Linked DNA regions of Nothobranchius furzeri. Each later gene encodes a partner of the first gene's protein in a complex. Links are inferred from orthologs where the notes say so. Each region holds a gene or a part of one and is shown in the gene's direction. Other genes may lie near its edges.

What was found.
Region 2: the proteins of fdx2 (region 1) and nfs1 are in contact, whole or in part, in a cryo-EM structure (PDB 8RMC), measured with the Homo sapiens proteins. The link is inferred for Nothobranchius furzeri from reciprocal best matches to the Homo sapiens genes FDX2 and NFS1. Residues at the interface, in NP_001384335.1 of Homo sapiens: Ala104, Cys105, Glu106, Ala110, Cys111, Pro141, Leu142, Ile169, Thr170, Arg171, Asn172, Phe173, Tyr174, Val175, Asp176, His178, Lys181; in NP_066923.3 of Homo sapiens: Gln153, Lys157, Leu160, Asp161, Arg164, Ala168, Tyr175, Ala384, Ser385, Leu386, Glu387, Pro388, Tyr390, Arg393, Gln456, His457.
Region 3: fdx2 (region 1) and ndufab1b share a complex: the UniProt entries of both Homo sapiens proteins name them as parts of the mitochondrial core iron-sulfur cluster (ISC) complex. The link is inferred for Nothobranchius furzeri from reciprocal best matches to the Homo sapiens genes FDX2 and NDUFAB1.

The regions. Positions count from the first base shown.
Region 1 is NC_091747.1:74,438,459-74,443,246, forward strand, and holds fdx2 (ferredoxin-2, mitochondrial), read left to right. Parts: upstream 1-1,483; 5' UTR 1,484-1,506; coding exon 1,507-1,693; intron 1,694-1,974; coding exon 1,975-2,026; intron 2,027-3,209; coding exon 3,210-3,316; intron 3,317-3,391; coding exon 3,392-3,479; intron 3,480-3,547; coding exon 3,548-3,704; 3' UTR 3,705-4,492; downstream 4,493-4,788. Other genes in the region: zglp1 (GATA-type zinc finger protein 1), read left to right, coding at 4,704-4,714. UniProt on the Homo sapiens protein: Electron donor, of the core iron-sulfur cluster (ISC) assembly complex, that acts to reduce the persulfide into sulfide during [2Fe-2S] clusters assembly on the scaffolding protein ISCU.
Region 2 is NC_091743.1:73,305,753-73,310,605, forward strand, and holds the start of nfs1 (cysteine desulfurase), read left to right. Parts: upstream 1-1,718; 5' UTR 1,719-2,264; intron 2,265-2,342; 5' UTR 2,343-2,431; coding exon 2,432-2,537; intron 2,538-3,246; coding exon 3,247-3,323; intron 3,324-3,620; coding exon 3,621-3,737; intron 3,738-3,904; coding exon 3,905-3,988; intron 3,989-4,833; coding exon 4,834-4,853. Other genes in the region: ccndbp1 (cyclin-D1-binding protein 1 homolog), read right to left, coding at 491-550, 1,221-1,308.
Region 3 is NC_091752.1:63,552,863-63,557,999, reverse strand, and holds the start of ndufab1b (NADH:ubiquinone oxidoreductase subunit AB1b), read left to right. Parts: upstream 1-2,127; 5' UTR 2,128-2,175; coding exon 2,176-2,346; intron 2,347-2,378; exon of another isoform or gene 2,379-2,463; intron 2,464-2,703; exon of another isoform or gene 2,704-2,765; intron 2,766-2,872; exon of another isoform or gene 2,873-2,919; intron 2,920-3,790; coding exon 3,791-3,910; intron 3,911-4,806; coding exon 4,807-4,894; intron 4,895-5,016; coding exon 5,017-5,108; 3' UTR 5,109-5,131; intron 5,132-5,137. UniProt on the Homo sapiens protein: Carrier of the growing fatty acid chain in fatty acid biosynthesis.

The DNA.
Region 1 (4,788 bases):
CACGGTGGGTGGAAGTCTTTCAGCCGGGGGCGACAGGAGAGCCTCCGGAGCTGAAAACAAGGAGCTGCCCTCCAGCTTTCACTGTTTGCACCGGATGTTTGAGACTGAAAACACATCAGGAGTCGCGTTTCAGCGTAAGAAACAAGTTCAGTAAAGCAAAGAGTGAAAGTTTTAATGAGTTTTGTAAAGAAAACAAGTTTTATTTGGGATATGGTGGACAATTAATGTATTAAAAATAATATTGCAGATTTGAAAAACGCTTTTCTAAGTCAAAAACTCCAAAGTGCTTTGCAATCCAATCACTCACACACCGATGGTGAAAACTGTAGCCACAGCTGCTTCAGGACACAGAGGCGAGGCTACCGCCCACCGACCACCACCATGATGCGTCTCTGTTCAAATGCAACATGAAATATGTACACCTGTACTTATTTTTGTACTGCATGTTTAGCTAGTTTATGTCCATGTGTTTTAAATACAAGCATATCAGCTGCTTTACAGTATTTAGTGATACTTCTCACCCTCTTTGCATGCAGGTGGAACCATAAACACCCTTGCATCTGTCTAATCAGATATCTCACAGGAATTAAGATACTTTTCAAAGGATTGGTGAAAGGTTAACAGGTTAAAGGTCAGGTTGTTGGTCATGATCAGACAATTAGAAGCACCTGAACAGGTTTGTCTCTTTAGGCAGGCGAGTTTTAATGGTGTAAATGAAGACATTCGTACAAATGTTTCTTTGAACAGACCAAACTAAACTGAGTTTAAAATCACATTTGACTCTTTCAAAATCACTTTTGTCATGATGTTGTTAATATAGAAATGTAAAGACTTAAAGTAATATGATTTAGGCAAATATCGATGAACTAAAGTTAACGGTTGTTTTTTTTAATTTACTTTTATTTTTTTTTAAATTGCCTTAACTCATCAGACAGCACCGATATACGCCGCTTTTAGGTTGTTTAGATCCAAAGTAGTTATTCGTTGAAAAAATCACCCACAGATAAAAATACATAACGGGTTTTTAAAAGGAGGTCTCGTGTAACACTACTACATTCTCAAAAAGGGCGAAATTTGTCCAGCATAAGTTTTGTTTCTCATGTCGAAAATTCAACAAAAACACAAGAACATTTCTTTTACTTTCTCAGTAAAAGTGCTGCTGTGAAGCATCATGTCTTATTTAATTATTTTCTGCCCAATTAAGTAAAAATATTCCCATTGTTCCAAATATAATATGAAGTGTGACATAAATTATGTTTACATGCGTTTCACCGGTCATTTTTCAATTTTATCACATTTCCATAAAAACAAATGAGGGAACACATTCTTATGACCTGAAATTTAATGTCCCCACCTGACCCCTGACCGGATCCAAAAGGTAGACGTCTTGGATTGTTTTTCACTGGCGCCCTCTGCTGTCAGAGAAAGTACACAACAACTGAAGCCTCGTTCTGCCACAGCTTTTTTTCTATTGGCTACTTTCAATCATGTGATCAAAACAGAGTCATGGCGGCGTCTGCAGCTGCCCGGACGAGCATTGGTTTAACTTTGAGGTTTCATCGAGTAATTCCGGACTGTAGCAAATGCCCCCTGTACAGACTAAAGAGCTGTACCAGCAACAGAGCTAACCCCCAAAGAAGAAGCTCATTTAATAGCTTTCGGACGATGAATCGGCATCTGCAGACGAGTAAATGTAAGTGATTTTGTTTGCTAACAGTTAGCATTAGAGGTTCATTCGTCCTTTCGAAGTGTTCTTACGACACAATCATTACGTAGTCGCGAATCACCTCATTTCTTTGAATGCGTTTTAGGTGTTAACCCTGCCTGAAATGTTTTATTTGCCTAAGAAACGTCACTATGAAAACTCTTAACACGTGTAACTTTAAACATTCTAAACTTCTGCAACTCGTTTATTCTTTTCCTCTGGTGGGTTTGATGCTATTAAACGAAAACATTGATTTTCTTTTTCTAAAGGTCTTTCCCAGGCCCAGGAGGGTAGCTCCAACTCAGAAGACCCAGATGATGTGTGAGTCTGCCAGAGCTTTTATTGTGAAATGTAGCCAGAGCTGCTGCTCTAGACCAGGCGCAGCTAACAGGAAGTCAATATGTGCACGTGCACCGTAAAGTTGAACCTACAAAATAAACGTATTTCCGCTGTTTTTCTAGAAACATTTGTATGATTGCAAGAGAAAAACTTAGTGGATCGTTAACATTAACAGCTTTAGTTTGTGGACATAAAAATGAAAATATCAGATGCTAATAGTTAAAATAGTTCATTGGCCGGTCTGCAGTCTACATTTATAAAAGGAAATGACATTAAGTTAATTATAATGACTTGTTTAATACGGTTATAATCAAAGCATTCAGCTTATAATCAAAGTTTTAATCTCACATTTTAAAGAATTGATTTGATCATTTTTATTTGCATTTTTTCAAATAAGAGGAAATTTCCTATTTCCACGAGTAAAGAGTTCATCATCTTTATCCATAAAGCACTTTCTCCGAACCATCACAGTTGGCCTAAGTGTTGTACACAACAATTAAAGTAATTTTAGAATCTACAGTGAGCTATAGATGAATCCCACAAGTGTCAAAGAGATTTCGTTACATATAAGAATCAAAAGCTAATTAGTAGAAATGAGTTTTCAGCCACCTACCAACATCTGGAGAGTTGGAGCTTGTCTGGCTGTGTGGGATACAATTCCACTTAATATTTGTACAAAGTCCGTGTAATCCTCCTTTCGCCCTAACCAAAGCCTCTCATTTGTGTGCCACTGTAGTATTAATGGTACAGTGATCCCTCGTTTATCGCGGTAGATGCGTTCCAGATCTGGCCGCGATAGGTGAAAATCCGCGAAGTAGGGACACCATATTTACAGTACAGTACTATATTGAATTATCGTATGATCACGTTCTCTTTTTGTGGGTAAAACTCAAGAAAAAAAATTATTTACTTGCTTTTTTTATAGTTTTATTACAAAAAGTGCATTTTATGATGAAATTGATGAAAAAAACAGGAATTTCTTGATATTTCGCATAGAAAAATACCGCGAATCGGCGAATTTCCCTTGAATAAGGCTCCAAAGAAAAAATCCGCGAAGTCGTGAATCCGCGATAGACGAACCGCGAAGTAGCGAGGGATCACTGTATTTTATATTTTTAACATATTTAATTTTCGATAAAAAGGACTTTTCTTCCCTCCCTCTTAGAGTTAATGTGGTGTTCATAGACCGGTCTGGCAAGAGGATCCCCGTTAAAGGCAAAACGGGAGATAACGTCTTGTTTCTGGCCCACAAACATGGAATTGAACTAGAAGGTAAGGGTTTAAAATCTGGATTAAACCAGCTGCTCAGATATTTGCTGATATTTTACATGTTTTTTTTTGTTTTAGGAGCCTGTGAGGCGTCGCTGGCCTGCTCAACGTGCCACGTCTACGTGAGCGCAGCTCATTTCGACAAACTGCCAGAACCAGAAGAAAGGTAGGGGCAAACTGAGGCTTTGTGACGGTGACTACACAGGAAACAATGACTGGTGTCTCCGTTCCCAGAGAGGACGACATGCTCGACATGGCGCCCATGCTGCAGGAGAACTCCCGACTCGCATGTCAGATCGTTCTCACTCCAGACCTCGATGGGATAGAGCTCACCCTGCCAAAAGTCACCAGGAACTTCTACGTGGACGGCCATGTCCCCAAACCTCACTGAATGGAGCCACAGATGATAAAGGGGAGGGGGGTTGTATCTAAAGATGTGAGGCTTTTGCTGAGAGGTGGGATGACTGCAAAGATTTACAACTAGGATAATAATGTGAGCAGCAACTCCCAGGAAGTGTCACTGACGTCAGCACAGACCTGCAGCAGAGAACAGGCCAAGTCCTCAAACTACACTAGTCCCACTGGAGTTGGTCTCCATGGTTACATGCAAAGAGAAACTGATGATGTATTTATTTATGTGAGGAGCTCTCAGGCTTCAGTCTCAGAGACCTGAAACATCAGTCGGATCGAGATTATCTCTGAACGGAACATTCCTTGTTACAGCTTTTATACGCACAAGAATCCCAGAATAATCCTCATGACCATTATTGTCCTGATTTATGTCGCATATGCATATTGTTCACTTTTATGTACCATATTCATCTGTAGATGTTTCAGTGTTTTGTTGAATTAGTCCTAAAAGTCAAATTTCAGAAAAGCTTTCCTTCTTTAGTCGGACCGAAAAGCCATAATCTACAATAAAGTAACTGATGCTTAAAGGTGGATTAACCACAAAACTGAACAAAGGGATGAAGTCTGTTCATTCGAAACATTTCAGAACGTTCTGGTGCCCCATTCAGCTGTGGCCTGATCCAGAGCCGGAAGTGTGTGTTCTCCATCAACAGAGTAGTCTACCTTTGACTCAAGTCTATTTGTCCAACATGCACAAATGGAAGTGAATTTTCTCGTATAATTGCAAATATTTCAAGTTGTACAATTAAATATTTCATTGAAAATGGTTTTAAGCAGATTGCCTTCATTCACTTTCATTTTTAATGAGTGGGATTTCTAGTTGATTGCCACGGATTAGGATTAGTTTGTTGGACATAAACTCGGTGGCTTGTAGGTGTGTTTGACACAGACCGAGCAGCTCTTTGTACCTGCCCAGCTGTAATCTAGAGAACAGCAAACACCTGTGTGGCTGGCTTCTGCAGCTCCACAACGCTGCACCATGCACACCATGTAAGTCTCTAAAGAAATGTTATTTAGGTTTCAGTTTTACACCAACATGATCATCTAAGGTGAGTAGAGAGATT
Region 2 (4,853 bases), on another chromosome or scaffold:
GGCTGCAGATGGATGAATAGAATAGAAAATCCTTTTATTGTTCCTCAGTGGGGAAAGCTAGACGTCACAGCAGCGATGACACTTATTACAGGAGGAAAAAAAGGAGAATAACAAATAAAAATGAACAAACAACAAGAAAACATAAATCCTTAATAGATTTTAAAAATGTTGAATATACCACAAGTAATGAAAATCACTGATGTGTTTCATTTCAAATTGACTGGCTCATGTGTAAATTGGTTGCTCCACATTCAGAGTTAATGCAAAAATAAGTTTGTTTCCAAATTTTAAAGTTTAAAATTGCATTTATGTTGAAAAAGAAAATGTGCAAATTTGCCATCACTTTTTCAAAAAATATTAAGTTTGGCTTGCAACTTCGTCCCAGATTTTCATTTTGGCCCAGTGTGAATTTGAGTTTGACACCCCGGACCTAAGAAAAAGAGTCAAGGAGTTGAACGTGTGGCAGGAGGAGAATTCTCATATACTCAACTCAAAGTGTCCCAGAAGTTAGAAAGGTTGAAATCTCCATCTGATTCATTTGACTCTCCATCTGCAGAGAAAATCAAAGGTTGTAATTACACTTTTAAACATGTGTTTTGTGATTATGTTGCTTCTATCTGGAAGCTGCTTTAGGTCAGACCAAATGTTTCATTGAGGTAAAAGTAAAAAGGTTATTTATTTACGTTGTATAACCCTAGCCCAAACAACAACAACAACAACAAAACACTTAAATGGAAATATATGAAATTATATACAGGATAACCTTCAGTTTGGTTTACTGCCAATACATTTCTGAGGAATGAGGTCTCTTACTACAGTCACTGGGAATGACACGTTACAGAATCCACTACATCAATTTCTCATAAGGATCATTCAGCTGGCCAACTTGCTTTTTTAAGCTACAGGTTTATTATATGTTTGGTTTTCGCAGAATTTGAGGGGCTTTTACGTAGCAACGAAACCTGTCTGGCTCAATAAGATAACGGTGGATGGCTAGATGACGCGTGACAATGTATCCCTGCTTGGCATTTGAAAAGTTACTTTCTCATTTTATTTGTCTTTAGTGGGCTGTTTAAAAGGCGACTGCACCGTTTTCCGTTTTAAGTTGTTTTAAATGCAGCCAACTATACACATTAAACAACAAAGACTGTTGCTAGCTTGGCACTAACACTGGCATACTGAGTTTTTTTAATGAGGTAAGAAATGTGTCTTAAATTTACCTCTGACTCGGTCTCTGATACACTGAATGGAGTTCAAAGCATTTCGTAAAGGTACGGACAAACTCCCGTTGATATTATCAGCACTCATGACGACGAAGTTTGAGGAAAAGCGTTAGCAATGCTGCGCTAACACGAGTGTTGTGGAACTACAGAAGCCCGGAACGTGGATCCGGGGAATATAATAAGCGAAACAATCAATCCCCCGGAAGCAGAAGAATAAAATGCGGTGAAATTGTTTACAGTGAAAACCACAGATACTGTATATATTCTTCCACTCCCTGAGCATATTTAATCTTCACTAAATATGAAACTACAACACTCTTCATACCTGGACTTGATTTTTCTGAAATGACAACATTAGGCTTAAATCCTTAGGCTTATATTTATGTCGATGATGCTTAAAACTAATGATTTTTTTTAATGTTTAAAAAGTGCGTTTTCAGCACAAAGATTGCATCTGAATTACATTGGAACATGTGTAGCTTAACAAGTACAACACTTAGATTCTTCAAATCTGGACTAGATTGTTCTATATTAATAGCAGAGTCCTTGAAATATAGTTGGTGGTTTGTGAAACCTAATGGGTGTATTTAATAAACCCATGCACATAAGAAACAGTGTTCATTACATTCATATAAAATGGCAAAAAGGTCATAAAACTTGGACTGTAGCCAATCAAAAAACTAAAATTGCCAATAGCCCCGCTTTAAATCCACAACAAAAAATCCAGTTTGGCCTATGGGAGAGCAGGGAAACCGCAGAAAGTCCCGTCCTTGTTTCCTGTTGAATTTTGTGACAAGTCTGTAGTTACCATCCAAAAAAGATTAAAAGACGAGGTTAAAGTTCATCTGTGAAATTGCTATTGTGAACTGTACGCAAATCAAAATAACGTAAAATTATAAAGTTGCTTAAACGTTTTCCATCAATAAATAGTTAGCACCGTTTTAAAATTATTTTGAAATTCACTACCGGAAGTTAGCTTTGTTTTGTAACTTAACTTGCGATGATCCATTTAATTGCAACCTGGGTCTAAAGTGACAGACAGTAAGTTTGAAACCACATATTTTCGCGTTTAGAGCACTAATTCTAAATAGTGTTCTCTTTTTTTAACGCTGGGGTTAGGTGGCTGAACTGCTTTGTTGATTTGGTCGCAGCCAACGTGTTGGTGTTGACGGAGGTCAGCAGGTCTTCGCCGAACCCAGCCTGCCGAGATGCTTTCCCCGGGAAGGACCGTGTCCTCCAGGCTTCTGAGGCCCGCCTCTTGGTTTCCTTTTCGGCTGGGCTGTGAGCGGTCCGTCGCCAGCTCCAAGCAGAAAGGTAACAGCATAACGGAACACACTGGCCTCTTCGTTTTCCTATGAGTATCTAGCATTAAGCTAATCCCAAAGTGACGCACTTTGCTGGGGTGACGAGAAACTTCACAACACCTACTGTGTGTTAAGTCCAGGTCAAATCAAGTAACGTGGAGCGTGTGTTGGGTTAGAGCTGGGACAGTGCATCCTCATCAATAAAGTATTTAATGACTTTAAAACTGAAGTAATATAAAATAATAACTAATAGTTTTGATTATTAATAACTGATATTATTGCTAGATTGATTGTAATCATATTCAGCCAAATGAAAGACAAAAAGCACAATGGGCAAAGCTGTTACAGAAACAATAGACTAGTTAACTTCAGATAACGCTCCGCTGTCCAGCACAGGAACAGAAAACATTTCAGATGAGCTGAGAAGTATCAAAGTCCAGAGTTTATAGTTTCCTTTTTAGAAAACATACACTACAATTTGGAAAACATAATTAATCTGGATAGATTATTATTAATCTAGACATTTCTTGCAGAAATGTTGTTTGACTCTGCCTACTTGGCTACTATGGAAACCATTCCTGTGAAGTTAGGCTCATCCAACTAAACAAAGCACCTTGATACCCTACTTGCGGCAATTGTTGAACAATTGTAGGTGTACGGCAAATACGTACAGAATAATCTTGAAAGAATAATGTGTACATTTGTGTTTTTTGCTGCAGAGTTGATCAAGAAACACGAGCTGGAGAAAGATGAGCTCCGGCCTCTTTACATGGACTTCCAGGCCACCACTCCCATGGTAACTGTAACTCGTGTGTTCTGCTGTGCGTCATAAAAGATAATGTTACTTATCATGTGACAACTATTTAATTTTGGGCTAAAATGATGGTTATTTGTGTGACTTTACCTTCATATAACCAATTTGTATTTGATTTGATCAGCATGTTTGAAGCTCATTTTTATGTGTACACACCCTTTTTATCACAATAAGTAACTTGTTTTGTAATTCAATAAATGAATGAACATCTGACTCAATACCCGAGAGAATGATTTGTTCTTTCTTTGCATTCCTGTTTCTTTATTCCTGTGTGTTCAGGACCCCCGGGTGCTTGATGCCATGTTGCCATACCAGGTGAATTACTATGGTAACCCTCACTCCAGAACACACGCCTATGGCTGGGAGAGCGAGACTGCCATGGAGAACGCCAGGAAGGTAGAGACACTGCAGGAGAAGTTGTCACATTATTAGTATTTAGGAATGGAGCAGAAGTTATTTCAGCATTCTTGTAACAATTAGAAAGATCCCAAATGCACATTGTGAGCATTTGGGATCTTTGTTTTCTTTCAGCAGTTAAATGTTATCCCTGTTCCTCTGAGCAGCAGGTTGCTGATCTGATCGGAGCTGATCCCAGAGAAATCATCTTCACCAGTGGAGCCACAGAGTCCAACAACATAGCCATTAAGGTGTGTTTTTTAACTTTTCTTCATTATCTAGCTACACACACCCCCTGCTGCCAGCGTCATCTCATTTTGTTTTGGGTAACAACAGAAATTTTCATTGTATTGAAAGTAGTTTATGTGGCTTTTAGAAGCTCAGGGTCCTTAACTCATTCACTGCCATTGACAACTAAAGTCATCATTTTAGATCCAACCGTTCACTGCCAATGACGACTAAAGTCGTCATTTGCAATTTTTTTTACTGTTTGAGCATCGGAAGGAGCCCCCGCGCTGAGAGAACAAACATCTCAGGCCTGAAGCCGATCTTCATCCGCATATGTCACACATCACATGATCAGGAAGCAACACATCCATGTGTTTGGAGATCGTTTTGGGCCATTCCTGTAAAAAAAAGTGAGGCGCAAACCAGAAAAGCGTCTCCCGATCACAATTCGACAATGGATTATGAAAGAACGGATAACGCTCGAAACATACGGCTTCTTCCTGATGTAAGAGGTGAGTCTCCTCTTTGTTTTGGTTGTTTTGGCATCGACATCATGCTAGCGCGCAACGTTCTGTGACTCTTAAAAAAACTGTAAAAACGGTGAGAAACGGTGAGAAACGCTGTCAGCGAAGGCCGTTAGTGATCAGGAAACGGCTGGCAGTGAATGAGTTAAGGAACCGTTCCCCAGTGTTTCCTCTGTTACAGTTTCAGCCAAACGGCTGCACACTTCGGTTTTTCATGAACAAAAAAAGAGCTATTATGAGTTATTTACAGAACAAAAGTAGGATTAGGAGTGGAAAATACTGTAAAAGCCTGTGAGGACGTTTTACAGACATCAGATGTAACTTTCTGTTGCTTCCTCCTCAAGGGCGTGGCTAGATTCTACAA
Region 3 (5,137 bases), on another chromosome or scaffold:
AATAAGAAATTTTGGATTCAAAACAACAAATAGCTCTTTAGAATTTCTTTTTGAACTATAAAATATTACATTTCAGAAGTTAGAAACAAGAGCAAAAAGAATAAAAATAGGTTAACACATTAACCTATTAACAGTTAAAAATAAATAAATAAGGTCCAGACTTTCTGTTTAAAGAGCAAGTAACCGCCAAATCAACATTTTTTTTTCTGATAAACTATATAAATGTGTGTCTAACCGTGCTGCGGACACGTGTAGTCAATAGTTTTGCACTTTAGTGCATTTTAGTTAAAATTTAAAATTTCTGCCTAAAACTGTCAGTGTTGTGCCATTGTCAGGTAAAAACTCCGCACTGCAGTTTTATTTAAATCTGCCATTGCTATTGGCTAAGAGGTACCCTAGAATGTTAGCTGGTACCATATGATGTCACAATGCCATTGTGAGCCTATGTGTGTGTGTGTGTATTTGTTAGCGGCTCCGCCCTCTCAGTTTGCTAGGCAACAGCATTTGTTGCATTTTTCAAATAGGAAGTGGGAGCAGAGTAATACTCTGGTGGGGGGGGTGACTTGCTCTTTGAACAAATACATGTGATTTGCATCCACAATTATAAGGAGTCTTTTCTTTTTATCAGTGCATTTTGTGTATGCTTTCAATTTATTTTAAACTAACAATAATTTTGTGTTCTTGCTCCTGATTGAAAGCATTCAGCTGTTGAAAGTTCTCAAGTGTGCAACGCTGCAGCTTAGATATCTCATCGGAGCTGTGGTTCACTGAAAAACTATTTTTTAGTTATTATTTCTGATTATAACTGGTTACTCTGATTTGATCTGATTGAAAATTGACAGAGAACCTCTAGGATTTGAAAAGCCAGACAGATCTATGTCACACCCATCTCGCCCATCTTGACTCATGACAAGGAAGAGTGCCGTTGGTTTAGTGTCCACGAAACAGCAGCAAACGTCTCGGCTAATAGAAGCTAACCGTTAGCATTAGCAACTCCACAACATGTCAGAACTCATTCAGGCTTGTGTTATTTGTGAATATAATACAATATTAATGTTGCTGAACAAGCAGAGTCAGTTGTACAGTCACGTTGCTATTAGCTAATCCAAGCCAAAATGTCCACATATCAGGAAATAAGACTCCAAATCCTGCCATCTGAAGCGCAACTCTGATGTGGATCACTTGTAGTTCCTGAAACAGGTGCGCCAGAGCCTTCCCCCCCCCCCCCCCCCCAGAATAAGATTTACAAGGCATTAATTCCTAGAGACCACTGCAAATGTGTTGATTAAACGAGTGAACACATCTTTAAAGGAGATGTACAGTTGAATGTCATCCGTGTAAAGATGGTAGGAGATTTTCTTAGCTCAGGTTGTGTTGAAGGGAGCAGATAAAGGAAGAACAATTGAGCTCCCTGCACAGAACCTTAGGACACCATCAGTGAGAGAAGTAAAGGAAGGACCAAAACTAAGAAACAACCACATTTCAATAAAACTATTCTTAAGTAGTCTTTGTCACTATCCAGTGTAGAGCTGTGGTTGGATTATTTCCCCAAAGAAGCAAGATACGTAATTGACTGTAAATATAGCAAATAAAACGGGCAAAACAGCTTACCATTTATTTCAGAGGGCTTCCCAAACTAATAGTCCTCAGTCATAAACTAGTAAACTCGCCAGTTGTCTAAAACAGAAGGTTTAAATCAAAATCATTTTCAGTATAGAGAAGTTGAGATGAACCAATAATGATATTAGACCCTGATCAATATATGTAATTGTCCCATGTTGGGGAGACATACTGCCAAGAATCAGATAAACTCTGACAGTCTTTGACAGTTGGTCAACTAAACAAAACAGTCAATGTGCATTTGTTTGAATATTATTATTTAGTTAGGCTATAATGTTGAGTATTACAAATGTTGACTTCCATCGAGTCTTTCTGGGATCGATTGATCTTGCTTAATTCGAGTCCTTGCTGTCGGGGCTTTTATAGCTTTTCTTTCTGACAATCCTGTATGGGGGCAACTGAAAGCGTGTTTTAGTTAATTAGAAGTTTAAAAGAACCAACAATCTGTAAAATGTTTTAAAGGAAACTTACGTTCTACACATGCGCACTGAGACGCCACTGTCATCGATTTTTCCGGTTCTTATACGCCGCTGATCCTCCAGCTTCTACTCCAACATGGCAGCCCGTGTCCTGCTGCAGTGTGTCCGCTCGTGTGCCCGGCCCTCGCTGAGGCTTTGCTCCGGTAACCTCGCAGTCAGAGCCGCTGTCATACCGGCAGTCAGTACCCACCGACCTCTCTCCTTGGCCGCCGACCGCCAGAGAACGCGGTGGTTCGTTCGGAGCCCGGTGAGTCCCGCTAACATTGGCAGAGTCCTGGCCTGGTGGCCGTGACCTACTGATGTCTTTCAACAGTCTAACCGGCCCAGCTGTAGGTTCTCGGAGCCGTCTGACTAGCCACCTGGACTAGTGTAAATAATAGTAATGAGACAGTTAGCCACGACTTTACGACACATTGCGACGCCTAATTTGTCTGACACTACCTCAAGGTTTGACTGTTTAGCTAGTTAGTTAGCAGGAAAGGCTAGCTGGTTAGCAAAGTTCATTGTGCTGTTTTTCTTGACTTTTCAGCTTTCTGGAGCAACTTAAACTAGCTGTCCTCAGGTTTTACGTTTATTTAAAATAAAAAAATATATATTTACTTACCAACTAATGCCACGTTGTCTCTGGACGCTCAGCCCCTTAGCCAAAACGGCTAATGCGCAGAACTAAAATAAAATCACGTTTGAAAACATCTATATGTGAATTAAACATACACGAGAATAGGATCTGTCCTCTTCACAAGCTGATTTTTGTATTTTTAAAGTATGCTTACTACTTGAGGAAGAAACCCTTGTAAACATTCATACAGTCAGGTCTGTAAGTGAAACAAGTAATTAATTAATGATTCAAATAAAACAGGCGGACATTATAAAGACTACTTTAAGGATGTCACATGATTCTGTATTTTGTATATTAACATTCACAAGAAATATTAGACAACTGTTGGACATTTATTCAATAAATATCATGCCACTGAAGCAACTGTTAAAGTTTCCCGCTTCTCCCTCTACTGGTTGAAAGAGGAGTTACAACTGTTGTAAACAACCCTGCTTTAGCTAGTGCTAACAACAAGCTAACATGAGCCAACTGAAGCCAACTGATAGTAAAGAAGGCACAAAGTAGAAAGATCCACACGTTTGGACTAAAGATACTTTTACGTCCAGTAGCACTCAGACGAGTGTAGTCTGCATCGATGTTCGCTCTGGTTTTAGCTCTTGGTTTCGCCTCCAAACACTCTTACCTTTATTTCCAAGCTCTGCCTTAATGCCAGCAACAAAAAAAGCAAAATTATTCGTATTATGCGAACAGAAAAAGCTAACTGTCAGCCTTTATATTGGCTACTGGCATAGTAACAGCTGTAAAGCAGGTAGACCTCTCACTAGTGCTCTTACCTGAACCTCAAGTTTCTGACCAGCAGAGGGCAACAGAGTGCTGTTATATTGAAAGCTGCTGAAGAATCACTGAAACCAGTTTAAAAGCAATAGCTAGTGTTGAAAAATTAGTGTTGCTTTAAGTGGTTCGCAATTTTCCTGCCCTGGATTATCTGCTCTTTACTTTTAGTTTTTTTAAAACATATTTCCATTTTACAGCATAACAAACATTTAGGTGTGCAGTTTGAGTGATCATGACCATTTTGCTTTCTTTTGCTTCGCATTCTCCCTTTTTGTCTTTCCCTTTATGCCTCATTTAGATCCTCTCGGTGGGTGTGCTGTGCCGACAGTATAGCGACCTCCCCCCTCTCACTCTAGAAACCATCAAAGACCGCGTCATGTATGTACTGAAGCTGTACGATAAAATCAACCCAGAAACGGTAAGAGTAAGAAGTGTTACAGAAAGCAGGTTGTGTGTGTGTGTGTGTGTGTGTGTGTGTGTGTGTCCGAAGTTTAGGGAAACGCAGCCTTCTGTTTCAGAAAGAGATGCAAGTTGATTTCTGGGTCTATCACCATGGTAACAGACACAGTACCTATCCTGTCCATTATTTTAGAAACAATTTTACTTAAATTGTTTAAGTTGGCACAGGAGTTAAAAGCTCGCCCGTAATCAGAAGGTTGCAGGTTCGAGCCCCGCTCAGTCTGTCGCTGTCGTTGTGTCCTTGGGCAAGACACTTAATCCACGTTGCCTGCTGGTGGTGGTCGGAGGGACCGGTGGCACCAGTGCTCGGCAGCCTAGCCTCTGTCAGTGTGCCCCAGGGCAGCTGTGGCTACATCGTAGCTCATCACCACCAGTGTGTGAATGTGTGTGTGAATGGGTGAATGACTGGTTGTGTTGTAAAGTGCCTTGGGGGGTTCCAGGACTCTAGAAGGCGCTATATCAAATACAGACCATTTACCATTTAACTTATAGAATTACCCTTCTCATGACCTCAATACATAATAGTCTCTGTTCCTAAAGATTTTTATTTTATATATATATTACTTCTCATTTAAAATGTTATTTATCAAGTACTTCCTCGCTTTAAAAAACCCAGACTGTTTTGATCCTCCTTTCTGGAATACCCACAGATCTGCATATAACCATCTCTTCCAAAATAATCAGTGAAATGTGAAAGATTTAGTTCTCCCAAACTCTAATTTTGTATATATTTTCACATTTACACTAGTTTTAGTGTAAACATTCACCCAGACAAGGTTTTTCTGCCAACTTCAAAAGAAAACTGATTCCCAGGGCTAATGAAACTAAATCTGATTAGTTGTATTTGCCCCACAGCTGCAGACATCCTCCCACTTCATGAAGGATTTGGGCTTAGACAGCTTGGACCAGGTGGAGATCATAATGGCCATGGAAGATGAGTTTGGTGAGAGCAACACACAGACCTCTGCCTTCACGTTTATTCCTATTCGGGATGAACTCAAACTCGTGTAGCTTCAGCTCTTTTTTTTCCTTCTGGGACGTGAATGTTTTTGGTTCCTGCTGCAGGATTTGAGATCCCAGACGCAGAGGCAGAGAAGCTGATGACTCCAGAGGAGATTGTACAGTACATCGCAGACAAAAAAGATGTTTATGAATAATCTCTTCTGTAGCTCGGAGGCAGGTATGT